Macaca fascicularis: one gene and its partners. The main gene of each other region encodes a partner of the protein of the gene in region 4 in a complex. Links are inferred from orthologs where the notes say so. Each region holds a gene or a part of one and is shown on either strand. Other genes may lie near its edges. The genes, in order: LIN7B, LIN7C, LIN7A and APBA1.

The links.
Region 1: APBA1 (region 4) and LIN7B share a complex: the UniProt entries of both Homo sapiens proteins name them as parts of the brain-specific heterotrimeric complex. The link is inferred for Macaca fascicularis from reciprocal best matches to the Homo sapiens genes APBA1 and LIN7B.
Region 2: APBA1 (region 4) and LIN7C share a complex: the UniProt entries of both Homo sapiens proteins name them as parts of the brain-specific heterotrimeric complex. The link is inferred for Macaca fascicularis from reciprocal best matches to the Homo sapiens genes APBA1 and LIN7C.
Region 3: APBA1 (region 4) and LIN7A share a complex: the UniProt entries of both Homo sapiens proteins name them as parts of the brain-specific heterotrimeric complex. The link is inferred for Macaca fascicularis from reciprocal best matches to the Homo sapiens genes APBA1 and LIN7A.

What each region holds. Positions count from the first base shown.
Region 1 is NC_088393.1:57,093,410-57,100,873, reverse strand, and holds LIN7B (protein lin-7 homolog B), read right to left. Parts: upstream 5,002-7,464; 5' UTR 4,972-5,001; coding exon 4,935-4,971; intron 4,541-4,934; coding exon 4,422-4,540; intron 4,130-4,421; coding exon 4,058-4,129; intron 3,147-4,057; coding exon 2,937-3,146; intron 1,554-2,936; coding exon 1,390-1,553; intron 1,058-1,389; coding exon 1,036-1,057; 3' UTR 952-1,035; downstream 1-951. Other genes in the region: C19H19orf73 (putative uncharacterized protein C19orf73 homolog), read left to right, coding at 394-951. UniProt on the Homo sapiens protein: Plays a role in establishing and maintaining the asymmetric distribution of channels and receptors at the plasma membrane of polarized cells.
Region 2 is NC_088388.1:38,082,391-38,089,727, forward strand, and holds the start of LIN7C (protein lin-7 homolog C), read left to right. Parts: upstream 1-2,659; 5' UTR 2,660-2,683; coding exon 2,684-2,720; intron 2,721-7,337. UniProt on the Homo sapiens protein: Plays a role in establishing and maintaining the asymmetric distribution of channels and receptors at the plasma membrane of polarized cells.
Region 3 is NC_088385.1:87,580,386-87,587,113, forward strand, and holds part of LIN7A (protein lin-7 homolog A), read right to left. Parts: intron 4,707-6,728; coding exon 4,488-4,706; intron 1-4,487. UniProt on the Homo sapiens protein: Plays a role in establishing and maintaining the asymmetric distribution of channels and receptors at the plasma membrane of polarized cells.
Region 4 is NC_088389.1:100,366,532-100,373,947, forward strand, and holds the start of APBA1 (amyloid-beta A4 precursor protein-binding family A member 1), read right to left. Parts: upstream 4,484-7,416; 5' UTR 4,344-4,483; intron 3,898-4,343; exon of another isoform or gene 3,473-3,897; intron 1-3,472. UniProt on the Homo sapiens protein: Putative function in synaptic vesicle exocytosis by binding to Munc18-1, an essential component of the synaptic vesicle exocytotic machinery. May modulate processing of the amyloid-beta precursor protein (APP) and hence formation of APP-beta.

The DNA of each region.
Region 1 (7,464 bases), on a different chromosome or scaffold from region 4:
CCCAAATCCCACCTTCCCCCCAAAAAAATTCCTCCTCCCTCCCCCTCCCCCCCACGGCTCCCAGGCGGTCGTGGCCCCTTTAACAGGAGACTGACAGACGGCGATGAGCGGCCAATGGGAGGCAGCGTCGGCGCCGGCCGGCGACTAGACCCCGCCTCCACACCGGCCGGGAGGGGTCGCGCGGGCGGAGAGCGAGAGGCGGGGTATAAGGCGCGTCGACCAATAGGCGCGCGGCGTGCGGCGGCTGGGGCGGGGGGCGGAGCCCGGCAGGGGGATGATGTCACCTGGAGCGAGTAGCGCGCGGCGTGGAACGCGAGTCGCGACCTCGGCTCCCGGCTGTGGGCGCCTTAGCCCTGGCGCCGCACGGGACACGAGGGCTGGGCGGGCAGCGGGATGGGGCTAAAGGTTGGATTTCAAGGCGGGGGCAGCTTCCGGAAAGACGCGCTCTGGTTGGAAGGTGGAGTGAGCGCCCGGTGGGCGAGGGCACCTCATTCTGCACCCCTGCGCCCGCCTCGGGAACTGCACGCGGCACCCCCATCCGCGACTCCCACGCAGACGGTAGTGCGGCCTGCAGGGTTCCCCCGGCGGACGAGGCTAATGGTTCGCTCCGCCCCGCCCACACAGAGGCCGCCCACTGGCTCCGGCTGCGTTTCAGGACTCTGGAGGAAGGGACTTGGCCTTCGCCCTCAGACGCTCTTAAGGGTAGGCGGCGTTGTCCTCAGTTCTGCCCCTGCACTCAGACCCAGACTGGGTCCCGGCCTCCGCCCTCGGACTAGTCCCTTGGAAGCCGGCCTATCTCCGCCTTCAGACCTAGGGAGAGGTCTCAACCTCTGTCTTCAGACTCTGAAAAGGGCTTCTCAAGGGCTTGGCCTGACCTCAGCTCCTCGCATTCCCTCCACATCTCAAGACACCAACCCAGGGATGCAGGACAGACACACAGACACTCAGTGAGGGTAAAAGACCTTTAAATAAAGTGCTAGGGACAATAAATACTGTACAGGGAGAGAATGCGTGTGAGCGTCCAGATCTGTGGTTTCAGCCTCGAGACTCCAAGGACCTGCAAGGAGGGTGGAGAAGGGACCCGGGATCAGGGGGGCTCCGGGTCATGAGAGAGGCAGGACTGGGGTTGCAGAGTCAAGGGCCCGGGGAAGTGGGCTGAGGGATCCCAGCCACAGTAGGTTCCATATCTTGGGATGGAAGGAAGCTAAGGGGTCCCCAGGGGATTTGGCCAGAATAGCCTGGGGTGAGAGGCTGGGCCAGGGGTCAAGGGTCAGCATCCCAGAGAAGGGGCCAGGGCCGGAAGGTCCAGGAAGAATTGGCCTGGTTTGGGAGCCTGGGGTTAAAGGGAGCCAGTGGAGGCCCCAGAGATGTGGTGACCCAGGGACTCACGAGTAGCTTTGGTGCTGCTGGCGCCGGCGGGCAGAGCGCATCTTCTCGAACCGGGCCTCCATCTCCTCCAGCACTCGCGGCGTGTAACGGACGACCAGCTTCACCGAGCCCTGGGCCGCCTTCAGCAGCTCCACCGCCTTCTCATGCTGCTCACCCTCAACGCTCTGCAGGGCCCAACACAGACAGCTGGGCCTGAGGCCCACTGCCCTCACCCAGCCCCCACTGGGAGATGGGACCCACTGCTGGTGAGCCTGGTGCCAGCCCTGAGATGCCAACACCTCATGTCCTCCTCGTGGGAGAGTCATTAACTCCTGGTTCAGTGTCCTCCTCCAAAACCTCCCAGGTTTCCCATGTCAGGGACAGCCCCATGTTCCCTCAGTCCCTGGTCAAACATCTAGACCCATCTTTGTGGCTTCCCTGCCCACAGCCCACTAATGCCTGCCTGCTTTGACTCTCTCTTCTTTGTCCCCACAGCCCTGGGCCAGCTCAGGCCTTGTCCCCTTTCCTTGGACTCTTAGCCCAGCCTTCTGGCTTCTAGTCTCTCCCCTCAGTTCATCTCCATAGGGTCCCAGAGGGGTCCTTCTGTACCTGCAAGCTGAGCTTATCCCTGGCTCACCCCTCCCATAGCTCCCCAGCACCCATGGGACAAAGTCCCAGCTTCTCAGGCTGGCACTCAGGTCCTGTATGGCTGACCCCAGCCACCTCTCCAGTTATGCCTTCCTCAACTCTAACCACAGTGATTTTTTTTTTTTTTTTTTTTTTTTTTTTTGAGAGGGAGTCTTACTCTTGTCACCCTTGCTGGAATGCAGTGGCACTATCTCGGCTCACTGCAACCTCTGCCTCCCAGGTTCAAGTGATTCCCCTGCCTCAGCCTCCCAAGTAGCAGGAATTACAGATGACTGCCACCACGCCCGGCTGATTTTTTGTACTTTCAGTAGAGACGGGGTTTCACGATGTTGGCCAGGCTGGTCTTGAACTGCTGACCTCAAGTGATCCACCTGCCTCGGCCTCCCAAATTGCTGGGATTACAGGTGTGAGGCACCACAGCCTGCCTAACCACAGTGATTTTAATTACCTGCATGCCCCAGACCTCCCTCAGAACTAAGCCCTTTCTTTTCAGCTCAGAGGTATGCCAAGTCCTTATCCTTATCTACAGTACCCTCAGCAGGAACACCCTTTACCTTGTTTGCCTGGAGAACTCCTACTCATCCTTCAACACCCAACCCAAATGTTCCTTACTCTGCAAAACTTTCCTGTATGTATGTTGGCCTGGTGCCACATCTGGGCTGTCACAGTACTTTGCAGTTCCTCATTATTATGTCTCTGGCTTAGGACTATTTCAGCCGAGGCCTACTGCCCTCCCCAGAGAGGGAAGGTTGAGTGTAGGAGCTGAGACCAACATCTCTCAGGGTCTGTAACACTGGCCAGCACAGGGCTAGCCATAGAGGCAGAGCTCAGTCAGTGTGTGTTGAGTGAATGTCAAAAGCAGGGGCTATGCTACCTTAGACAGACTGTGTCCCGCAGTCCTGCCTCAGCCCTCCACTCACCACACCGTTCACCGACAACAGTTGGTCCCCACGCTTGAGGCCTCCATGGCGGTCAGCCACACCCCCCGGGATGACCCGGGAGATGTAGATGGGCGAGTTCTGCTCTTTGCCACCCATGATGTTGAAGCCCAGGCCCTCATCCGTCTTGGGTAGCTCCACTACCCTGGGATGTGCGTGGCCCTCGCTGGCTGTGAAGGCAGCCACTGTGGCCTGGGAGAGAGAAAGCGACTGAAGATGAGGGCCCCTGCCAGGTGGGCAAGAAGGCTGGGGTGGGGGATCTGAACCGAGGACAGCGATTTAGCCTGGGTTACTATCCCCAAACATGGGACACGTGCCATGGCACAATGCAAGATCCCCCTGTAATGACTGTGCGTCCCTTTCTGTTCACTTGCAAGAGAAAGTGTCCATTTGGTGTGTGTCTTGAATACCCCATACTTGCCAATCTTTTTTTTTTTTTTTTGAGATGAAGTCTCGCTCTGTTGCCCAGGCTGGAGTGCAGTGGCATGATCTTGGCTCACTGCAACCTCGGCCTCCTGAGTTCAAGCGATTCTCCTGTCTCAGCCTCCCGAGTAGCTGGGATTACAGGCACCCGCCACCACGATCGGCTTTTTTTTTTTTTTTTTGTATTTCTATAGAGATGGGGTTTCACCATGTTGGCCAGGCTGGTCTCGAACTCCTGACCTCAAGTGAGCCACCTGACTCGGCCTCCCAAAGTGTTGGGATTATAGGCGTGAGTCACCGTGCCTGGCCGCAATCTTACTTTTAAACAGATGAAAGCCAGGCTTGGAGGGAGATCCGAGCCTCTGGGCAGCAGCAAGAGGTAGCATCTCACTATTGTGCAGTGAGAGATCAGAGCGCCATGACTTCCCTGGTTTCACTGTACAGATGTTGAAGGTTATCTTCTAGCCAGTCATGCCACACTGGTTTCCATTTGCAGTTGCTAAAGACGCCTTCGTATGACATTTAAGTTAAAAATGTGCGATTATTTAATAATGGTAAGAGTGGCACATAGATTTAGCAAAAATCATGAGGGAGGAAACAGAAATGACTGGCATGAAGGAGATACTGAGCTCGACCAGGCAGTTAAATAGACACCAGGAGCAATGAGGTGCGGGGCCCACCTTGGCTGTGGCATGGGCTCGGATTTCGGCGCTGCCAGTGATGTCCAGCGTGTCATAAAGCTGCTCATACACCTGGGTGAGGAGGCAGCGGCATCAGGGAGCTGCCAGTTCCTCCAGCCCTAGACGCAGGAGTCCGGGCCCCTAGACCCTCTCCCGCTGCCACGCAAGGATCCGCCCCGCCCCCGCAACCGGAGCCGGAGGAAACTACAACTCCCGAAGAACCACTGAGCTGAAGCGTGGGCACCCCAAGGCTGGCCGCCTCGGGAGCTGCCGGGAGGCGTAGTCCCCGGGCTCGGGACTAGCAGGAGGAGGAGGAAGAGGACGGCGGCCACCAGCTCGCGCCCTTGCGCCGCGCGCCGCTCACCTCTCGAATAGCGGAGCAGAAGCGGCTCTGCAGGACTCGCTGGAGGGCCTGCAGCTTCTGCGGGGGCAGCTCCCCGCTGCGCTGGAGCCGCTCGAGGAGCTCAACCGCCCGGGACACGTCTGCGGGGCGGGGGCGGGGCGCAGAGACCCCGAGACGCAGAGAAGCAAGGAGAGCGGCGGAGTGAGGCCGAGCGCACAGTCCAGGGAGGACCGCCGAAGCCCAGTCGGACACCCCGCAGAGTCCAGGGTGGCGCAGGAGAGACCGCCACCAGCCGGGCGCCCTGCAGCCCCAGGACCCCTCCACAGGCCGGGGTGTAAGGCGGGCGCCCCCCGCCCCGGCCTGGGTTCAGGGAGCCTCCCACACCCCGCGACCGCCGGGCCCCGGCGCCCGCCCCGCCCACCCCGCCGGGTCCGCTGGCCCACCCGCACTGGCCTGGCCTGGGAAGGGCGGGGACCGGGGGCTGGGTATGCAGGCCGCGGCCCGGGTGGGCAGGGCCCCCTGGCGCGCGCTTACCCCGCTCCAGCCCCAGCGGCTCCACCAGCGCAGCCATGTCGGCGCCACAGCTGCCAGCGGCCCGCCTGCCCCGGCGCGGGCGAGGAGGGCGGGGCTGCGCGAGGCCACGCCCCGGGCCACGGGCGCCCCCTGCGGAGGCGCAGCCTGGAGAGCGCCCAGCTCCCCAGCGCCGGACTGTCCCGACCCCCCTGCCGCGCGCCACCCGCGGCCCTGCCCTCCGTCCCGGCCAGTCGGTCCTGTTGGCGACTCCTCCCGTTGTAGGTTCGGTCTGTGTTTCTCTTTCAGGATCAGTGTCTGCCTGCCCTCCACACCTGTCTATCCCCTGTCCATTCTTTTCCCACATTCATTCAACAAACTCCTGTGAAACATCTGGGCCCAAGGCATGGACACTGTGGTGAGCAGGGCAGCCAAGCCCACGGCCCGAACGGAGCTTCCAGTCTATGGGAGAGGTAGACCACCAGCCACGGCTGTAATGAGAGCTGAGAGTGGGGAGGTAAGGATCTAGAAGACGAAGGAGATCCTAGAGCAGGGACATTGACATACAGTCCTGGGAGGTAAGATGAACAAGAGGTGGAGCTTGGGTCACCCCCACCACGCAGAAAGAGTCCACAGGACTGGAAGCAGAGTTAGGATTGGTTGATGATGAGGTGAAAAGGCCGGCAGGATACAGTTTATGCCTGGGCTCCTGCGTTGGCATATGCGCCTTGAGGATTTGGGGCTTCATGCAAACTCCTAAGAGTAAAATATGACACTCAAATTTGTATTATTATTATTATTATTATTATTGAGACGGAGCCTCGCTCTGTCGCCTAGGTTGGGTCTCAGATTTGTATTTTAAGATCACTGGGGCCGGACGCGGTGGCTCACGCCTGTAATCCTAGCACTTTGGGAGGCTGAGGGGGGCGGATAGCCTGAGCTCAGAAGTTCGAGACCAGCTTGGGCAACATGGTGAAACCCCGTCTCTACGAAAATACAAAAAAAAAAAATAGCCGGCATGGTGGTGTGCGCCGGTACTCCCAGCCACACGAGAGTCTGAGGCAGGAGAATTGCTTGAGCCCAGGAGGCGGAGGTTGCAGTGAGCCGAGATGGCAACTGCACTCCAGCCTGACAGAACGAGACTCCATCGCTTAAAAAAAAAAAAAAAAAAAAAAAGGCCGGGCGCGGTGGCTCAAGCCTGTAATCCCAGCACTTTGGGAGGCCGAGACGGGCGGATCACAAGGTCAGGAGATCGAGACCATCCTGGCTAACACGGTGAAACCCCGTCTCTACTAAAAATACAAAAAACTAGCCGGGCGAGGTGGCGGGCGCCTGTAGTCCCAACTACTCGGGAGGCTGAGGCAGGAGAATGGCGTAAACCCGGGAGGCGGAGCTTGCAGTGAGCTGAGATCCGGCCACTGCACTCCAGCCTGGGCGACAGAGCAAGACTCTGTCTCAAAAAAAAAAAAAAAAAAAAAACTCTGGGCAGAGCGGGCGCTGTGTCTCAGGCCTGTAATCCCAGCACATAATCCCAACACTTTGGGAGGTTGAGGTGGGAGGATCACTTGAGCCCAGGAGTTTAAGACCAGCGTGGACAACATGATGAAACCCCATCTCTACAAAAAAATACAAAAATTAGCTGGGCCTGGTGACGTGTGCCTGTAGTCCTAGCTGCTCTGGAGACTGAGGTGAGAGGATCGCTTGGGCCCAGGAGGTCGAGGCAGGAGTGAGCTATGATCACACCACTGCACTATACCTGGGTGAAAGAGTGAGTCCCTGTCTCAAAAAAAAAAAAAAAAAAAATCACTGGGCTGAGCGCAGTGGCTCACACCTGTAATCCTAGCACTTTGGGAGGCTGCATGCAGCGAGAGGACTGTTTGAGCCCAGGAATTCAAGACCAGCATGGGCAATATAGTGAGACTGCATATCTACTGGAAAAAAAAAAATCACTGTAGCCACTATGGAGACTGGTTTGGACAAGAACAAGACGAGAAGCAACGGGGCAGCTTAGGAGGGTACCACAGCCATCCCAGTGGCAGCTGGCACCAGGGCCAAGGCATAGAAGATGGGTGGGCAGATGTGGAAAATGTCTGGACAAGCCTTGGTGCTTGGCTATATATGGGGATTGGGAGGTGCAGGAGAAGACAGTATTGAGGTGCTTTGGTGCCATTTTTTTTTTTTTTTTTTTTTTTTTTTGAGACGGAGTCTCGCTCTGTCGCCCAGGCTGGAGTGCAGTGGCGCGATCTCGGCTCACTGCAAGCTCCGCCTCCCGGGTTCACGCCATTCTCCTGCCTCAGCCTCCCGAGTAGCTGGGACTACAGGCGCCCACAACCGCGCCCGGCTAATTTTTTGTATTTTTTTTTTTTAGTAGAGACGGGGTTTCACCGTGGTCTCGATCTCCTGACCTTGTGATCCGCCCGCCTCGGCCTCCCAAAGTGCTGGGATTACAGGCGTGAGCCACTGCGCCCGGCCAGTGCCATTTTTAAGATGGTCTACACTGAAGGAGAGATACTGGATATTTTGTCTGTTTTCAGAGGCAGAGTCTTCCCTCTGT
Region 2 (7,337 bases), on a different chromosome or scaffold from region 4:
CCAGGAGGCAGAGGCTGCAGTGAGTTGAGACTGCGTCACTGCATTCCAGCCTGGGTGACAGAGCGAGATTCCATCTGAAGAAGAAGAAAGAAGAAGAAGGAGAAGGAGAAGGAAGAAAGAAGAAGAAACAAATTACCAGACAGGGAAAGGAAAAGAGCCAAAAAAATCCACAATCCCAGTTCATAAGAACAGTCCTGTTCCTACCAAAGTAGAAAAACCACATAATTCACATTGGGTATGGGGTAAGGAACTTTGAAGGGTACTGTCTTAGTAGTGGTATACAATTAGCCCTACATAAATGACTGAATTGGTTCCACCTAACAACAACAACAAAAAAATCAGACCCCAAAAGAACAAAATTGTTTTTCAAGTAAGTGAATTTTACAAAGTCTACCATTTTGTTTAAAAAAAAAAAAAAAGTGTCCAGGCATGCAAGAAGAAGGAAATTATGAACGGTAATGAAGAGAAAAATCAATCAATACAAACTGTGCCAGAAATAGTGTAGATCATAGAATTAGTAGACAAGGACATTAAAACTGTCATTATAATTGTATTCTATGTGTTTAAGAAGCTACAGAAAAGATTGAGCATGTTAAAATATAAAAGATGTAAAACACACACCCACACCCAAATCAAACTGGTAGAAGCAACAACTACAATGTTTTATATGAAGAATGAACTGGACAGGATTTCAATATTAGATATTGAAAAAAGATTAATGAACATGAAAACCTAGCAATTATCCAAAAGGAAACATAAAGAAAACCTTGAAAAAAAGAAGAGCATCATTGAGCTGTGAGACAATGCCAGTTAGCTCAATATACATGTATACTATGTACATGCACACGACTCCAATAGTCACCAGTGGAGAGGAGCAAGAGAATGCAAAGAAAAAATATTTGAAGAAATAAGAGCAATGTTTGCATTTGTCTTGCTCTACCTGGTATTCCTATCAAGGCACCTGGTACATATTAGGTGCTTAATAAACATTTCTTGAACACATTTGCAGCAGGAAAAAAAGACAACAATGAGTAAGAGATAAGCACCTGAGTGTTACTGCAGGGTATTTAGGCCATCAGAGGACAAAAAAGTGGAACAATATGGAGAAAGGCTTGGTAGAAGTGGCATGTCTTCAGCAGGGACCCATGAAATGGGTTCAACTGAGTGTCTACAAAGTTTGGAGAACAGGAGGGGATGAAGAAGGGCATTCCACACAAGAACAACATAAATGAAGATTTGGGGCCCGGCACAGTGGCCCACACCTGTAATCCCAGCACTTTGGGAGGCCAAAGCAGGAAGACTGCTTGAGCTCAGGAGTTTGAGCCTGGGCAACATAGCAAGACCCCCCATCTCTACTAAAAATTTAAAAATTTGCCAGGCATGGTGGTGCTTGCCTGAAGTCCTCACTACTGGCAAGGCTGAGACAGGAGGCTCTCTTGAGCTGTGATCGCACCACTGCACTCCAGTCTGGACAACAGAAAGAAACTCTGTCTCTAAACAAACAAAAAGACTTGAAACCAGGAATAAATATGGTTGAAACTATCCCACCCGGACTGAAGTGGTGGTTGCACTTAGCGGTAATAAGAAATGAACTTAGCTGGATGAGTTAGGGTCAGAGTATGCAAGGCTTTAGAAATAAGAAACAGGAGAGAACTATTGAAAGTTTCTGAACAGATCTTGTGATGATGAAATCAGAATTCAAGGGGAGAAAAAAGAAGCATAGTGATGGCAGATATCCGTGATGGATTTGGAGAAGAAAATACTAAAGGTGAATGGAAAGGGTGGACCAGCGGCAACCAGGTTATTAAAACAGTCGCATCATGAAGTGTTGAAATACTGGATGTAAACACACCTACCACAGTATCAGTACAGACTAAGGGCTTGGATAAATGTTAGTCAAATCCAAATACTAAAATTCTTCTTGGTTCGCGAAAATTTCAGGAGTGGCTCAAAGAATCTGTAATGCATTAAGAATACTATTTGCTTCACAATATTTAATTTACTTAAGATTTCATAAGAATCAGCTGCTTATAAAATTGTTACTTTGTGGTGCACCAAAGCACCTTGTTCTCTCCCTCACCCAGATATGTTATCATGCTGTTTGTACTTTCCACCCTTAAACAGATTTGGAGGGAAGATTCAAGCCGTGGATTTTTAAATTTAAAGCAATGCTGTCACAAACTGAGAACTGACATGTCATTACATATTTAATTGCCACCACATCCCAGAGTTTAAAAATTGAAAGGACCTAAGAGATAGGACCTCTCGTTGTACAGAGGCGGAAACTGAGACTGAGAGAGGGTAAGAGAACAGTCCCAGATCACAGAGCTGCTAATGGGCAAGGTGGGACTAGAATCCAGGCTTGACTCCTCTACGTGGAGCCAAGGGTTCGAAGCGATTCGGATAAGGGAAGCCCGAGGCAGGGAACGAGAGTCATGAAAGCAGCTCTTTCCAACCCTAGGAGGCCGGGGAACCTCGCCACCGCGGAAGGAGCGGAGCCAGGCCAACCTCAAAAGCCGCAAGTCCAGGTACCCTTACCCTGATGGCCCCGGCGACACCCTCGGCCACCCTCCTGATCTCGCGATACTAGCCGGTACTCACTTTTCCGGCTTCCTCTAGGCCCCGCCCCTCCACCTCAGCCCTTCTGTCGTCATTTCCTGTGGGTCTGTGGGCTAGGGAGAAGATGGCGGCGTTAGGGGAACCCGTGCGACTGGAGAGGGGTGAGTGCAGCCGAGGCTCGGCCGAGGTTGGTGGAAGGGTTGGGAGAGTGCTGTGTCGCTGGAGGGGAGGAGGAGTGACCCAGGCCCTGAGATCCGGAGCCAGGCTATCCCTTGTGCCGGCGCCTGAGGCCACCGTTGTTCTGTGCCTGGCTTTAGTGAGGGCGCTTACGGTATTTCAACTGTTACTCTAAGCTCTCCTCTGTTCACACGGACTGTCCCGAAGCACAGCACAACTAAACACAACCTGCCCGCTTCGCAGACACACGCCGCACACGCGCTCCCTTGGTGGGCACAGCAGAAGCAGCATTCAGAGACCCATATACCCGAAAAGCAAACGTCACACACCCGGTTCGCACAGACTACACTCAATGCCTGTACAACATGAGAACACACACGGTACAATTCAACAGAACCTCCCTTCCCCCTTGTTTACACACATACTCCTTCATTACTTTTTCCACAACATCGCTTGTATTTGGGTTGGGGTATTTGCTAGCTTTTGTGCCCCTCCTAGAAATGGAGAGGTTGCTTTAAAACAATCCTACTCACTTGGTCTTGGGAAGGAGGTTACGTAAGTAAGCAGAATAGTGGTAGATGCTAAAACGCTTGCAGGTGCAGTGTTTTTCATTTCTTGCAAACCCTACAATTGCAAACTGGTTGGCTGATTGCTTCCTAGAGCAGACTGTCAAGGAAAATAAAACCTCCTCTTCTGAGTGATTTTTTTTTAGAGAAGCCTGTGAAAATAACTGGCTATGCGCCTACCAGATTTCCAGCATTCCAGCGTTTCCAGTCCTTTTACAGATTTCCAGCATTCCACTCTGTCCCTAATCCTTTATTTCAAACAATTTCAAGCATGCTTTTCATGCACCAGCATTAGAAATCATTGATAGGAGCTGAGAAGTACAAATAAACATTTTGAGTACTTGTGGTTAAAGAAAAAAAAAAATTATAGGATGGAGACTGAAATTATATTGCACATATTAACATTTGCAGTTACAGTCTAAATACTACTATTGTTCCCTAAGAAAACACATTTTTAGAATTACTGTACTTAGAAAAACTTCTTTCCTAATGCCTTCCCACAAAGAAATGTGCACTTAATGTTGCTGATTTGCTCTTTACTGCGTTCACCATTTGGAAGTCTCACTGTAAATGAGATTCTTACCCTTAAGCCAATTAAAGCATCATTTTAGAGGACTAGCTACTCTGGGAAGACTTGCCGAGTTAGGCCTAAGTCTGTGACATCTTCCTCTTGAGCACAGTAGCACTGTTTTATGGATGGGAACAAATCTGTTTGGTGTTAACAGGAGTAGGTTTCTTCTTTGAAAGCTAGTTGTTAAGATTCTAACATATTGGTGGTCTTCTGTGTTTTTGTTGTTGCTGTTTGGAGACGTAGTCTTGCTTTGTCGCCCAGACTGGAGTGCAGTGGTGCGATCTCGGCTTACTGCAACCTCCGCCTCCGTGATCAAGCAATTATCCTGCCTCAGTCTCCCGAGTAGCTGGGACTACAGGCGCACACCACCACGCCCGGCTATTTTTTGTATTTTAGTAGAGACGGGGTTTCACCGTGTTGCCCAGGCTGGTCTCGAACTCCTGAGCTCAGGCAGTTCGCCCGCCTCGGCCTCCCAAAGTGCTAGGATTATAGGCGTGAGGCACTGCGCCCGACCAGTCTTTGTATTTTTAAATGCAACACAAAATGTGGAACTTCTGTGGCATTTAGTTTTGATAGTCATGGCTTTGTTTTTTGCTGTTAACAGACTTCTTTTCCATTCTTCAGTAGAAGGCTTAGCCCCTTAGGATGAATTACAGTTAGCCCTCTATATGCATGGGTTCCACGTTTCAGCCAACTGCAGATTGAAAATACTCAGAGAAAAAAATCGTGTCTGTATAGAACATGTACATTTTTTTCTTGTCCTTATTCCCTAAACAATGTGATATAACAACTATTTACATAGCATCAGATATTGTAAGTAATCTAGAGATTATTTAAAGTATGGAGGGGGGATATGCATAAGGTTATATGCAAATACTACATCATTTTATATCGGAGACTTGAACATCTGCAGATCTTGATATCTGTGGTATCTGAAGAAGGTCCTAACGAATTCCCCACAGTTACTGAGACAGCTGTACTAGTCGTTGCCATTTAGCAGGGTAAGAAAGTCAGATTACATCACCTCTGATTCTTGTTTACAATTCTAACATACTCTATTAACAAACACTCCCAACAATCTTACAGCAGAAAATCCTACAGTACAATTACAATACAGCACCTGATCACATATGATTTAGAGTGCCTTCTAAATCATCAAACTATGATCTAATGAAACACAAATTTGAGCACATGTTAGCTACATTTTAGATTTAGTCAAAAGCATTTTATTTTTTTCCGTTTTTTTTTTCTTCATTGGAAATTTTTATATGACTTACATATTATAACTTTATAAATCAAAATAATTGATGAACCAACAGTCCCCATTTATCAGTCATTCTGGTGATGGGAAATCAGAATGGTGAAGGTCTATTTGCTTCCATTGCATTTGATTAACTTTTTAAGTTTAAGCTTTCTTTACCACAAATTTAAAAATTTGTTTTCTGGCCAGGCGCAGTGGCTCATGCCTATAATCCCAGCAGTTTGGGAGGCCGAGGCGAGCAGATCAATTGAGGTCAGGAGTTCGAGACTAGCCTGGCCAACATGGTGAAACCCTGTCTCTACTGAAAATACAAAAATTAAGTGGGCGTGGTGGCGGGTACCTGTAGTCCCAGCTACTCGGGAGACTGAGGCACAAGAATCACTTGAACCCTGGAGGCGGAGGTAGCAGTGAGCCAAGATCATACCACTGCACTCCAGCCTCAGCAATAGAGGGAGACTCCGTCTCAAATAAATAAATAAATAAATTATCTTTCAGCCGGGCTTGATGGCTCACGCCTGTAATCCCAGCACTTCGGGAGGCCAAGGTGGGTGGATCACGAGGTCTGGAGGTCGAGACCAGCCTGACCAACAGGGTGAAACCCCGTCTCTACTAAAAATACAAAAATTAGCCAAGCGTGGTGGTGGACCCCTGTAATCCCAGCTACTCAGTAGGCTGAGGCAAGAGACTCTCTTGAACCTGGGAGGCAGAGGTTGCAGTGAGTGGAGATTGCGCGACTGCACTCCAGCCTGGGTGACAGAGTGAGACTCCCTCTCAAATAAATAAATAAATAAATAAATATCTTTCTTTACTGCATTTATTCATAGTTTTCTATCTGCAAACACGAAGAAGGCCATACTATATAAAGAAAAATTTCTAGTCCTTGAGTATAACATGAAATCAGAAACATCTTCTACTTAAGTCAAAAGGAAGCAAAGCAGTAATGGAATACTGGGCACTATAGTACCTGGGGTACAGAAACTGTACAAAAACAGTTTTTGGGAAAAAAAAAAAAGTAGAGATAACAGTATTATAGCTGACCTCCTGAATCTTCTAAAAATGTCTCAATTCATAACATTTATCCTCGCACTTCTCAATGGGAATCCCCTAACATGCTTCATACATTTCTAAAAATGTATACAACCTCTTAGGCTTTTTTTGGTTTGGTTGGTATTTATTTTTTTTTTTGGAAATGGAGTTTCACTCTTTTCACCCAGACTGGAGTGCAGTGGCACAATCTCAGCTCACTGCAACCTCTGCCTCCCGGGATCAAGGGCTTTCTCCTGCCTCGGTCTCCCAAGTAGTTGGGATTACAGGCACCTGCCACCATGCTTGGCTAATTTTTGTTTTTTTTGGTTTTTTTGTTTTTATTAGAGATGGGGTTTCACCATGTTGGCCAGGCTGGTCTTGAACTCCTGACCTCAGGTGATCCACCCACCTCGGCTTCCCAAAGTGCTGGGATTACAAGCATAAGCCACTATGCCCAGCCAGTATTTCTTATGATTAATTGGTACCAGTGTAACATAACATTTTTGCTTGCTGAGCCCTTTTTTATGTATTGTGTGGTTCAGTCGTTAACTGAACTCATAACTCTTCCTCGTAACCCTTATATGGAAGGTACTGTTATTTCCATTTTACAGTGAAAGAAACTGGGACATAAGGAAGTCATGTAACTTGCCCACGGTCACAAAGCTAATTGTTTTTATTTTTCTCTTTCATAAACATAAGTGTTTGAGCTTGTTTGAATTAACAATGTTAATTAAGGTGAAAAAAAATCAGTTTAGTTCATTTGTACTGCTTGTTTTTGCATTTTTACGGTTGTTTTAAATGTGTCCCTGCCACTCACTGCATCTGCTCTTTAATGGTTATCTACCTGTGTATCATGTTTCTTTCAAGAAATGATCAGTGATTTTACTAGCTTATAGTGCCTTGTACCGTTCAGTGCTTTGGTTACTAATAATGATAATTTGGTAAATTTTTGTTGACTAGTTTCTGACAATATTGCTAGCTTTTCTGAAGCAGTACAATGTTCATGTAATGGTCACGTTTGAGTCGCAGTCCTTTCTGATGACATTTGGTATTTTGTGTTCAATTTGCCTGTGTTTCTCCGAGGTCTTACTTTATGCTTCTGTAATCTCAGTAGTTTTTCCTATCTACTGTAAAATTTAGTGTTCTTACATTTTACATTCTCACCCTTCATGTGTGT
Region 3 (6,728 bases), on a different chromosome or scaffold from region 4:
GCAGGCACCTGTAATTCCAGCTACTTGGGAGGCTGAGGTGGGAGAATCGCTTGAACCCAGGAGGCGGAGGTTGCAGTGAGCCGAGATCGCGCCACTGCACTGTAACCCGGGTGACAAAGCGAGAATCCGCGTTAAAAGGAAAAAAAAAAAAAAAGTGCGTTTCCCCTCCAGCCATGATTCTGAGGCCTCCCCAGCCATGTGAAACTGTAAGTCCAATTAAGCCTCTTTTTGTTCCTGGTTTCGGGTATGTCTTTATGAGCAGTGTGAAAACGAACTAATGCAACTGTTTCTCAAAAAAAGTGGGTATAGCGCTAACAAAACCCTTATTCATATTCTCTGTTTACATTTCTAGCATATTATTGCGCAACAATAATACTTTTTACATTTTAGAAAATGTAATCTATATCGTTCAATATTGTCAAATACAGAAGTTAGGGGAAAAGACAATTGATTTTTACTTTAAGAGAATTTACAATTAAAAATAAGCATAAGACACAAATTCCCTGCACAGTACTTGCATTAAATCTGTTTTCCGTTTGTATTCACTATTTATCATTGCTAGATGCTTTATAACTTTTACCATCTCAGATAAAAAAACACATTATTCCTAATTTCAGATTAGAAATTATATTTCATTTGATAAACAATAAGATAATATCAGACAAGTATTTTGATTTTAATTGGTTTTTGCTTGACTGGTTAAATTTTTAAAAAATCTGAGATGCTTAAAGTCTAATAGTTCAAATTAGCTTCAAACTTTTTTCAGAAGCAACTGTAGTAAGAATTAACAAGTGTGACAAATCCCATTTAGTCCTTAGAAATCAAATTAATTAAAATGTAATTAGGAGCTAATGTAGGTCTCTTTGACTGAAGTCACCATGAAAATCCATGAATGACATGACTTGGTTATATTTTATTTGTACCTGAAATGATCACTACAGTTTTATCTCAAGGGACCATGCTTATGTGTATTGCAAGTGCACAAACAAAAATTTCATGTTCACCTAAATAGAACTCTATTATATCTCATGCCAGAAAAAACACAGTTTGCATAATAAAGGCTTTTTACTAAAAATACTAACTAGTCTGTGGTGGTGAAACCATAGGAAATTTAATGAAGATGGATGGAACGGAGAAATGGAATTGAGTTATATGGCCCAGCAAATAATTCTGGCCAAGTTGTATACTTTTAAAGATGATTGAATGAGTATAATATTGGAAGCCTTTAGTAAGACCTTAGAAGTCTGAATGGGAACATATTTGTTTCAAAATACTAGCACAATTTTACTATGGACCAATGTGGTAAATCAATTAGGAGAATTGGTATACATCTATATTATCAAGGATGAGAGAAAAATGAGTTAGTAAAAAGAGTGTAAATGTTGTACTAAGGAATAATGCATTGTCATTACCACAAAAGAGATCTTTAAGAGCTCTAAAAGTACAAATGTAAAGTGGCTTTATATTTGGAATGGATAACAGAGAACGATGTGGACAAAATGACTTGTCCTTGTCTGTCTATAGACCTCTGTCTCAACTACATCATCCTAGACCAAGTCACCATATTTCCTGCCTGGACTACTATACATTAGCCTCCTAATTGGTCTCTGCTTCCACTCTCAGTCTTCAATAACCTATTCACACAGCAGCCAGAGTAATCTTTTAAATAAATCAGACCATGTCACTCCTGTGCTTAAAAACCTTTAGTGGCTTCCAGTGCAATAAAATCTAACTTCCCTCAGTGGCTCACAAAGGTCTCTGTGACCTGGTCCCCAGCTATCCCATTGACCCCATAGCCACCACCACTGTTCTTCTGACTCACTATTCTCTAACTACTCAGGCTTTCTTTCTGTTCCTCAAATATGCCTGTGACAGAGCTACTGCATTGGCTATTTCTTTCTCTTTTTAGTCTTTTTTCCTTGCTGCTTGTGATTCAGTCCCATCGAAATGTTACCTCCTTTCAGAGATCTTCCCTGATCACACAGTCAAGTTACCACCAAGCAGTTCTCTATTTAAACCCCCTTTTCTACTCTGCAAAGTACTGGTCCCAATAGGATATTTTTATTTACTTGTTTATTTGTTTATTAACTATCTCCTGCAACCAGAATGTAGGGATGAGGGCAAAAACTTTGCATTATTCACGCCATTTTTGCAGCTCATTAAACAGTGCCTCACTTATAACAGTGTCAAATAAATACTTAATGTTCAATAAATGTATTTTTAGGATAGAATGCAATTTGAGATAAAGATACTGAAACATGGTATATATAATAAAAAATAGCAGCCTATGAAAGATAGATTGTTGAATTCCCAGAATTGTTGGAGAACAAATCCCATACCTTTTACCCCCTTTTCTATGTAGCTTCTTCTTTTCACAAGTGTCACAAACAACTGAAAGCCTCATGTTATATCCAGTGTTTCTCTTTGTGCAAATAGTAATCTGATGTTGAATGACCTAAAACCACTATTACCCACAATCATTTTTCTAAGAATATTTGAAGCTCACTTCAAATACACATTCGCAGACACCATAGTGTAAAGGTATCTAACAATATGAACTGTCTTCTCTAAAGGATAGCAAGGAAAATTTATATAACTCCAGAATATCTGATGTTGGCAGATGAAAACCTGGTAGAGTAAAAAGGAAAAGAATTCTATGTTTCTTGTAAATGTAGTCATGGGAGATCCACTGAAGTTATTTTAGCTTCATATTTTCATCTAAAAAACTTTTTATTGATACTTGCCTTGAAGGGATTTTTTTCTGAGGATTAAGGACAAAATGTGATAAGGGCATAGGGCATAGTAGGGACTTCAAAGATGGGGTCTCTTAACATTTTTTCTTCAATTTTCTTGATAATATGTAGCAAAACCTGATTTAGTATTCTTTGTTACAAAGTGGAATTTAGAAAAAGGCAGGAGAATCTTAGACACATTTTATTTCTACTTTACAACTTTTTCAAAACTCTTAAAGTTTTATTTTTAATTGACAAGTAATAATTTTATGTATTTATGGATTATAATGTGATGTTTCAATACGTGTATACAGTGTGGAATGATCAAATCAGGCTACCAAAGTTGTCACCACAAATACTTATTGTTTCTTTGTGGTGAGAATATTTACAGTCCATTCTCTTAGCTATTTTGAAATATGCAATACAATATTATTAACCATAGGTACCAAATTGTATAATAGATCATCTTAACTTATTCCCCTTCTACCTAACTGAAACTTGTACCCTTTGGCTAAGACCTTTTCCCTTTTCTCTCTCTCCCCTCCTCTCCCAACCTCCCAGCCTCTGGAAACCACATTCAACTCTCTACTTCTATGAATTAAAGTTTTTCAGATTCCACACATAGGTGAGATCATGTGGTATTTGTCTGTCCATGCCTGGCTTATTTCACTTACTATGATGTTCTCTAGGCCTATCCACGCTGACAAAAATGACAACATTTCCTGCTAATTAAAGGCTAAATATTAAATGGTATTCATGTGTGTGTGTGTGTGTGTGTGTAGGTAGATATAGATATCTATCACATACTTATCACTTTTAAAGAAACGTATTCATTGATAGCACTTCAGTTTTCATATCTTGGCTGTTGTAATAATGCTGTATTGAACATGGGAGTGCAAACATCTCTTTGACATATTGATTTCAATTCCTTTGAATATCTCCCCAGAAACAGAATTGCTGGATCATATGGAATTCTATTTGAACTTTTTGAGGAAAATCTGTATTGTCTGTCAAATTGGCTGTAGCAATTTATACTCCCACCAACAGTGTGCAAGGGTTCTCTCTTCTCCACATCCTCGCTAGCACTTGCTATCTTTCATCATTTTGATGATAGCCAATTTAAAAGGTATGAGGTGATATCTCTTTGTGGTTTTAATTTGCTTTTCCCTGATGATTAGAGATGCTGAGCATTTTTTCATATAGCTGTTGGCCATTTGTATGTTAGACACACTTTAAAGGAGCATGAGAACTTCAGAATCTCTTAGAGCATGGACAGTGGCAGGTCTCAGCTTCATTCTTTTCAGTGGGGCACTTTTCCAATAAATTGTATCTCAGTATTCTAAAGGAGATCTTTCCATGGTCAGTGCTATAAGGTTGTGCAGTTAATACACTGTGTAAAGGTAACTGGCCAACAGGGTGAGTGAGGCCTGGAATCCAGCTCACACTCTTCTCCTTAGGATCCGGGTTTGCACGAGGCTGCATTTTCTTAATTTGTCTAAAAGCATCCTACAGCCCATACTTGTCCCTTTCAAAGTACATCATTTTCCAAATTATCTTGCATTTGTGGAGCATATAGCTGAATGGCACATAAACTATCTTGTTTATATATTTTTAGATCACTGTCTTTTGTTTGATTGATTTTGTTTGGATTATTTAAATCTAATGGTTTTGTTTCAGCTAAAGAAAATATATTTTAGAACATTTTATATATATATATATATATATACTCCTTGTATCAAATAAGTCACTTCTCACCTATGACATGTGATTTTGTTGTGTTTGTTGCTGCTGCTGCTGTTGCTGCTGCTGAATTAGCAATTGCTGCTGCTGCCGACGCCTGGCTGTTCGTAGCTTTTCAAAGCGAGCCTCCATTTCTTCCAGAACTTTTGGGGTGTATCGCACTACCAGCTTGACGCTGTCTTTAGCAGCCTTGAGTAGTTCCACAGCTTTCTCATGGTGTTCTCCTTCCACACTCTGAAAAGACAATGACACTTCTTAAAGGGAGGAGGTTCAATGTTCTTTTCCCTGAGAGACAAATCTGAAATTAGTATCATATTAAGAACCCCAAATTTAAATTTTTAAGAAAGCATGGCAAATGAGTTATCTTACCATCATCGTTATTATGTATTACACTCTGATTAAACTATAAGCAGGTTAGGCTGCACGGGGTCACAGAATGGACTGCATGGGGATTCAGGTTATGCGGGTGAAAAGCAATGAAGACCTAAGTTATAATGCTAACATTAGGAATGAAATTTCCAAATTGCATCTGGAAGAGTAAATGCACTAGTCAACAAAATTTTGAAAAAAATTAAAACATAGTAACAAAGAGGAAATTTCTCTATCAGGTATTAAAATTTATTAAGAATCTACAATGATTAAAGTGGTATCTTATTGTGTGTATAAAAGAGATAGTAGAACATAGCACAGAGTCCAAAAGGAGAGTCATCACATGGAAAGTATTATTTATTATAAATGTGGACTTTAGACCAAAGGAGAAAAGGGCTATTAACTAAATTAAATAATACAAAATAATGGAGACCCAGCCGGGCGTGGTGACTCACACCTGTAATCCCAGCATTTTGGGAGGCCGAGGTGGGTGGATCACAAGGTCAAGAGATCGAGACCATCCTGGCTAACACGGTGAAACCCCGTCTCTACTAAAAATACAAAAAATTAGCCAGGCTTGGTGGTGGGCGCCTGTAGTCCCAGCTACTCAGGAGGCTGAGGCAGGAAAATGGCATGAACCCAGGAGGCGGAGCTTGCGGTGAGCCGAGATAGTGCCATTGCGCTCCAGCCCAGGCGACAGAGCAAGACTCCATCTCAAAAAAAAAAAAAAAAAAATTGATAGCCTATGTAAGATTGTAAGGTTTACAGCCATCTCAAAAAAAAAAAAAAAAAAAAAAAGGAGACCCAATTTCATACACTATGCTAAATATAACAGATTAATTAAAATTTAAATGTAAAATAAAAACATAAAATAATTAAAATAAAAGAAAGGTGAACACTAATCATTTTTCAATAGAAAGGGAATTCTTAATTTAAAATACCCAGGGAAACATAACCACAAAATCAGATGTACACAGTGTAAGTTTCTGTCTCAAACACTGTAAAAAAAAAAAAAAAAGGGCAAATCAGAAAAACACTTTCAGTATATGACTGTCATATACTTAGTGCAAAAGGGATTTTTTTCTGGTTTATTTGCCCGTTTTTTATTTTTTTGAGACAGAGTTTCACTCTTGTTGGCCAGGCTGGAGTGCAATGGCCTGATCTGGGCTCACAGCCACCTCCGCCTCCTGGGTTCAAGCGATTCTCCTGCCTCAGCCTCCCGAGTAGCCGGGATTAAAGGTGTGCAACACCACGCCTGGCTAATTTTACATTTTTAGTAGAGATGGAGTTTCACCATGTTGGCCAGGCTGGTCTTGAACTCCTGACCTCAAGCGATCCACCTCCCTCAGCCTCTCAAGCTGCTGGGAGACAGGCATGAGCCACCGTGCCCAGCCTGCCCTTCATTCTTCTAACAAATCAATAAAGATCTAAGCAGAATGAGCAGTTGATATGCATGGACAAAAAATAAAAAATAAAAATGGTCGATAGACCTCAGAAAAGATGTTCAGACTCCCTAGTAATCAAAGAAGTATAGACCAACATAAAATACTTCTTTTTTTTTTTTTTTTTTTGAGATGGAGCCTTGCTCTGTCACCTAGGCTGGAGTGCAGTGGCACGATCTTGGCTCACTGCAAGCTCCACCTCCTGGTTTCACGCCATTCTCCTGCCTCAACTTCCCAAATAGCTGGAACTACAGGTGCCTGCCACCATGTGCATCTAATTTTTTCCATTTTTAGTAGAGACGGGGTTTCACCGTGTCAGTCAGGATGGTCTCGATCTCCTGACCTTGTGATCCGCCTGCCTCGGGCTCCCAAAGTGCTGAGATTACAGGCGTGAGTCACTGCGCCTGGCCAATATTTCATTTTTGACTTAAAAATAATAAATATG
Region 4 (7,416 bases):
TCCCTCCTGCCAGTCTTTTCCCATGTCATTCCATCCAACATAATACTACAAAATTATTGCCCCAAAGCACAGTTCTGATACTGTCAATCTTTCTCCTCACAAATCTTCTATAGCTCCCCAGTCCTTACTGAACAAAATCCACACTCCTTAGCTTGGTGTACAAGTTGCTCCACCACCTTGAACAAACCTCTCTTTCTTGCTTTATCCCTCATTACATCTCTTGGCATTCCTAGTGCTGCAGCCAAAGCACACCATTTTTTTGTTCCCTGTGTAGGCATACATTTTCCACTGCCAGGCCTGTGCTACGCTGTTCCTCCCCCAAGCATGCCCTTCCTTCTCTGCCAACCCAAATGCCACCTTAATCACAGCTCAAATGCTATATCCCATGTAACCTTCCCTGATTCTTCCATCAGAAGTCATTTTGTACCCTGTGAATTCCCACAGCCCTGCAGGAATACTGCTTTTTCAGCACTTAATCATTTTTTCACTATTTTTACAGTTAGTAACACATATTCCTCTTTTCTCCTTCTAGACCAAGATTCACCTCTGGGCAGGATCTAAGACTTAGCATTCTTTGAATCTCCAACCCTTCTCAACATTCCCTGTCCCCTATACCCCTAGGTACAGTGGGTCTGAGACACAGGAGGCAAGATGTTTGCAAATTAACTATTGTAACCCAGAGAGTTAACTTCAGATTTCATTGCTTGAAATTCTCTCAGTTTTAGCAACAATTACTTCTTCTTTGTAGGCTAAAAGTCCTATCTCCCCAAGGTACTACATACAGTTAATTCCTTTTGGACCCAGAGGTCATTTTCAAATATCTCTTACTCCTAAGTCTTCTGAAACAAACAAACAATAACAACAACCAAAATGAAAACAAAAAACAAAACAAATAACAAAAAAAAACCCTTAAGAGACTCAATAATGGTAGAGAAAAGCACTGATGCTATTTTAAGTGAAGGAAAGGCATCCATGCACAAAAAAATGGCTTGCTGCAGGCCACAGCAAAAGGTACAACCATTTACCAGAGCTGTCTCATGAACCTTATACCAGTCCAATCTTTAGAAAAGCCAGATATTGCATTTTTAAAACTATCAACCTGGGCAACGTAGCGAGACTCTATCTCTGAAAAAAATAAACAAATATCTGGGTGTGGTGCCATGTGCCTATTGTCCCAGTTATTCAGGAGGCTGAGGCAGGAGGATTGCTTGAGCCAGGAGTTTGAGGCTGCAGTGAGCTATGATCACACTACTGCACTCCAGCCTGGGCGACAGAGGAAGACCCTGTCTCAAAAAGATAAATAAAAATAAAAATGATCACGTTTATGTTAGAAAAGAAATCACTGATTCCTGAGTCATCGATTATGCTGCTGTGTAATTTCTCTTTCTCTAAACAGTGTATTTACCTGGTAATTCCTCATATTATTAAACTTTCTTGTAAGACATTTACATCCCTGGTCTTACTTGCAAATATAAAAGATGATGACTTTTTTTTTTTTAAACCAAAACCTCTTAGAATGGCTTTTAAATTCCATAAGTACTTTTCTCAGAAAGGGATTTGGCATAACAAATAAGAGAGTAAAAAACTAAGATTCAAAATTCATTTTTACAAATCTATCCTTAAATCTTGGATGAGAGCCAACAACCAACCTCATATTAAAATCTTAGAAGGCTTGACTTGAAGAACATGGGGAAATTTACTTTACATTGACACTTCAAGAACACCTAGTCTATACATCATTAAATAAGATATATGGGAAGAAAAAAAGCATATGTGGATAGCCCTAGTTTTATTATTTTCAATGAAACAACGATATCGTGCAACCTTTGCCCATAAAAGAATGCAAAACAAAAATTTTAAAAAAGAAAAAGAAACCTCTGGTGCCAACATGTTGTATATTTACTTGTGTAGCCATGACTGCTACCGGCTTTTTGAAGAGAACCGTGCAGCCAGTTTGGATTCCGACAGCAATGCAGTAGAATTTAAGGTGTTATGACTAAAATATGTCCTAAACAGGTTAAGCTAGACATACAACATTTTAATACAGTAGTGTCGAGATACTCATTCCTGTGAATACCGCAGGAGAAATACAGGCGAGGAGGAATCACACTGCCCTGGATACACATGAATATGCCATCTCCCTGCCTATCTCTACCCAACCCTACACACACCTATCTTTACCACGCAGAGACAATTAAACAGCCATAGACTCGATGCATTTCTGTGTCCTTGTTCCCACTGGGTGAGGTATTGCCAGCCTGACATTTTTCCCAATTCCCTACTAGTGGGCTATATCAGGTAGGAAAGCAGGGACTTTACTGACCTGGGACCCCATCACTGTGGGTCTTGGGAGATTTCAGTTTCCAAATGATACACGGCACCACCTAGCTATTGTGACAGCTGGGAGAGTGGATGTCACCAGCAGTAGAAATAAAGTATCCTGTTTCCTGAGGAAAACGCCCTGGCTGTGTGACGCTGACCAGGTGGGCACCAAACACTTCTCCGTGTGATATTTTTCTTCTTTTTTAAAGACTGCCCCCCGCCCCGCCGCATCTCTCTATACGTACACACCTCCAGAGTTCATTCTAAAAGAACCAATACAAAGACCATCCATCCTCTAGCCATAAGGTTTTCAGTGCTTAAATGTGGAAGGAGAAGGTCTAGCTAGCATTGAAAGTTGTGGGGACAGGAAGAGGAATCTGATCATTCAACACTATTCTCCTTCAGGTCAGACAAGAGAAAAACAATAGAAACTGCAGAGTCAGGGAGTACAAGACCCTTATGGAACAGGTGCTAAGCAGAGAAGTAGTATCAGAGGATGGAAGCCCCCTTCAAAACCGGGTACACCAGCAAGCCCAGAATGCGTAACGGTTATCCTATTTCCCTGCCATGTGCCTCAAAGCAACATGCTCACTTCCACATCCCCATGTAATGAGGCCAGAGGAAGGGGAAGCGAGAATCCCTACACTGGGCCATCCACACGCAGGAGCAGAACAGAGACTGTGCTCAGAGTTGCAGGGTCAAAATAACAAACACTGTCCCACAGTCTCAGCCGGTGACATCAAGTCAGGGCAGCGGCAGATCTCTGGGTTTGGGGCGCTGTTTGGGGAACGTGGATGCAACCAAACGCGTACACACACATACACAGAATTTTACAAACCCGCCCCTACCCCACTGCCTCCCTCCACACTTCACACACCAAGTGCATCCTGCCCACCTCACCGTTTCCATCATCACATTCTTTCTCCAGGAGAGTCAGCCGAGAGATGAGGGATCCTAGCGGGGATTCCTGGAAATGTCACCCCCCAACACCTCCGTCCGCCACCCCCATCCCCTCTGCTATACCTTTTACACACACACTCTCACACACTCACTCCTGCCATGACTGTCATCAGGCCCGCCTGCTGCGCCCGAAGCCTGGCATCTGAGCGGGCACCGGACCCCAGCCGTCTCGCCCGCAACGCCGCCTTACCCCGCCTCGCTGGCTGATGGTTCCAGGCACTGCCCCCTGGATGTCGCCTGCTGCCCCCGCTCCTCCGCACTATTGTTCCAGGCAGCCCCTCTCGCGTCCGGGGGCGCCCTTTGGCTAGGACCCGGGCTCCGTCGGGGGCCGCATCAGCGCCGGGCACCCCTTCTCACCCACCCCTCCCTGGCTGTGGTACCTTGCCTGACAGCTGGGTCCGCGGGCCCGCGGGAGCAGGCGGCGCTAGTGACAGCGCTGGTGCCAAGCCTGGGAATAAAGCTCCGCTCCAGCCGCTGCTACCTCCAGCGCCACCATCTTCTCCCGCCGCAGCCGCCGCCGCCGCCGCCGCCGGGACCGCAGCCGCCCTCGCCCAGCTCCGGCTCTGCAGCCGCCGCTCGGAACCCTCCGGTCTCGCGGCCCCACCCCCTTTCCCCACCCTCCCTCCCGCCCTCCAGCTCTCTAGCTCTCCCCTCGTGACGCGCGCCGGGGCCGGGCGGGCCTGCGAGGGAGGGCGCGGGGGAGCGCGCGCGCGCACGCCGCCTGCTAGTAGCGCCCCTGCCTCCCACGCCCACTCGCGTGCGCGCGCGGCCCGCGAGCCCGAGGCGGCGGCGCCGCCGGCGTCCTCCGTGGGCAGCTGGCCGCAGCTCCCCTGCCTCGGCGCCGGTGGGCGTGCGGGACACCGGCGCCTCTCGCCTCCCCTCGCGTCCGGGTTTCGAAGGGCCCGCCCTGCCTGTGTTCCACAGCCCTATCCTCTGGTTCCCGGCCAGACGCACGGAGGGGAAAATGCGGCTGCATCCCCGAGGGGACTGACGGGGACCTCCACCCTCCTCGGTGGCAAACCAAGGGGTCCCCAGTTTCCTAGCCAGGAGCTGTGGCCAACCTCTCTGCGAAGCAACGGGCCACGCTGCAGGACCACGAAGCCAGGCAGCTGGGTCGACTCCTGCAGGGTGTTCTCTCGTGAGTGACTCCCGAGCTTTCCCGCTTCCCAGGCCCCTTAGATACCGCCTGCGCTTCAAATCCGGAGATTGACGGCGTCTCCGGAATGCGCCGCAGTGCTGCGAGTTCCCCGCCAGGGGGAGAGCCGCGCGGGTTTGGGCCTGAGCGAAGCGGGCCGGGCTGCAGTTCTCCAGGGAAACTGCCCAGTCCGGCCAGGGACAGCGGAGAGCCTGCGGATTGTGAAGCCGGGGAAGGCTCGGCTTGGTTTTCCTACCCGCTCCTCAGTTCTGGTTGATCGGAACTTGAGAGTGTCTTTGAGCCTAGCATAGGCTATCCGCCCTAGATATGGCTCCTAGCTCGAGAGGCCACCCTTTGCAGCAGGGACCAGGTGGCAGGTGCTGTGTATTAATGAAAAGCTGTGGGCTAGACAGGCCCCGAGAGGCCTGGGCTCTGGCGCTAGCCCCACCTGTAATTAGCAATGCAATAACTAAATCATTCCCCGTCTTAGAAACACAGATTTTTCATAATAATGTTATAACGCACAAAGCCTAGTAGTTTGCAAAGCCCTCTCCAGACATATATTCTCCTCCAGTAAAATGAGGATAAGCGCTGGTTATCCAGATCCCTTGGGAAATGCATCTTTTACCACACCATGTTTCCATAGTATTTTAAGCACAATGTCTCCAGAGAAGTCTGGGGGTGTAGCCTAAAGCATTCTGAAAGTCTTGTTTTAGCTTTAATATTCGTATGAATTCTGCATTGTACTTCGTAATTTTTTTTCTTTAATAAAACAGCTACCTTCTCAAAAAGATCTTTTAGTAAAATTTAAGATTATATACTAGGAAGATGTATGCTTGTCCTGTGACATTACTCTTTTTTTTTTTCCAGTGAATACTTATTTGGCATATGTACGGGCCAGATATAGTCCTTTTCCACCAGAGCTCACAGTAGGCTGAAGGAAATAGGTATTCAACTATTAGACTGGCCAGGCACAGGGACTCACGCCTGTAATCCCAGCACTTTGGGAGGCCGAGTACGGCAGATCACTTGAGGCCAAAAGTTTGAGATCAGCCTGGTCAACATGGCGAAACCCTGTCTCTACTAAAAATACAAAAATTAGCCGGGCGTGGTGGTGCACGCCTGTAATCCCAGCTGCTGGGGAAGCTGAGGCATGAGAATCGCTTAAACCGGGAGGTGGAGGTTGCAGTGAGCCGAGATCGCGCTACTGCACTCCAGCCTTGGCGTCTCAAAAAACAAACAAACAAATAAAACAATCAGACAAAGTGCAACTGTGATAAATTCTCAACTGCAAAGGCGCTAAGGTGCACGGGAAAATCTAATGTAGACTCCAGGACTAGGTAAGGCTTTCTAAGGAAACGACATTTCAGATCCCCCAGGAGAGGCAGCAGTGAGACACTTCCAGGTAAAGGGAAGGAAATGTCAAAAGGCCCAAGCAGGTGGGGCGGAAGTGAGATGAAGCTGGAGAGGCAGGCAGCAATCAGAACCTCAGGAGACCTTGTGGACCGTTTTTAAATAATAATTTTGTCTTATGAGCCTGGAAAGTCAATGAAGGGTTGCCAAGATTTGGGAGCAGGCAAGCAGGATTACATTTCAGTTCCTGAAAGATCGCTGAGGTGGCTTGTGAGGAATTGATTCGTGGAGGGTCAGGATCCAGGGCCGAGGGAGTCTGAGCTTATCCTACTTAGTGAGTGTTTAGAGTTTTCTGTTTTTGCGCTAACTGCTCTTTTGATTGTTTTTAGTTCTTGCCTCTGCTCTCCTGTGTACTCATCTAGGAGGCTTTCAGAGTGCTTCTCTGTAATGGTTTTTGTTTTGTTACTTTTAATCCACTGCGGTTTTAGGAAGGAAATTAACTTTGTTAGAATTTCAGGTTAAATAAGAGAATATAGGTTCTGAGTGAGAGGCTCTTTTCTGTGCATACACTTACTGCTGTTTGGTTTGCTATCTCAGAGATCTTTCTGCTTATCTTCTACTTTTTGTGTTGTGTTTCCAGTTAGACTAGGTTCTTAGATAAATGAATGAGGGTTACATTATTGCTTTAATAATATCCTCGAATCTTACCTCACAGGATTTTTGTGTAAAGAAAGTATGTGAAATTTCTCTGCAAAGTATTACGTGCCATATAAAGAAAGGTAATCATTGTTAGTTATAATGGTAGCCCAGAGACCTCCAAAACTAATTATGTACCAAATGTTCATATGTGGAAATTTCCCTCCCTCCCCCACCCCTATGAAAAACACATATTCCTATTTCTTCCAGATAGCATGAATCATTGTCTTAAGTGCTATTGTTACTCTTGCCTTGGCTGTCAGGAAACTCAAAGCCAAATTTTCAGATCGTCGTAGGAAATGAGTGGATCCACATGGCATGTAGATCCATGTCTCAATCCCTTCTTTGGTCTTGTTCTATTCTATTTCTAGATTTCCTGTGCCTGCTTTATTGTTTTTCTTTTTAGTAGATCTTTCATAAGGCACTCCAATCCACCTTCTCCTGTTAACAAGGGTCAAAACTGCTATTCAAGTGTTTCAGGAAGCAGTATATAAGATACTGGCAGCCAGGCATGTTGGCTCATGCCTGTAATCCCAGCACTTTGGGAGGCCAAGGTGGGACGATTATTGGAGGTTAGGAGTTCAAGACCAGCTTGGGCAACATAGTAAGACCCCCATCTCTCAAAAAAAAAAAAAAAATTAGTGGGCATGGTGGCGAATTCCTGTAGTCCTAGCTACTTGGGAGGCTGAGATGGGAGGATTGCTTTAATCCAGGAGGTTGAGGCTGCAATAAGCTATAATTGTGCCATAGCACTTCTGCCTGGGTAATAGAGCAAGACCATGTCACTAAAAGTAAAATAAAACACTGGCAACCTGCTGACCATTGAAGCAGGTAACAATAGTATAGACACTGTGCCAAGTGACTTGGGTTTAAAGTAAAGCCTTCACCACCACTGCATGTGCACCTAAAGTCTCTGTGCATGCCAATTTAAAACTTCATATTATTGGTAA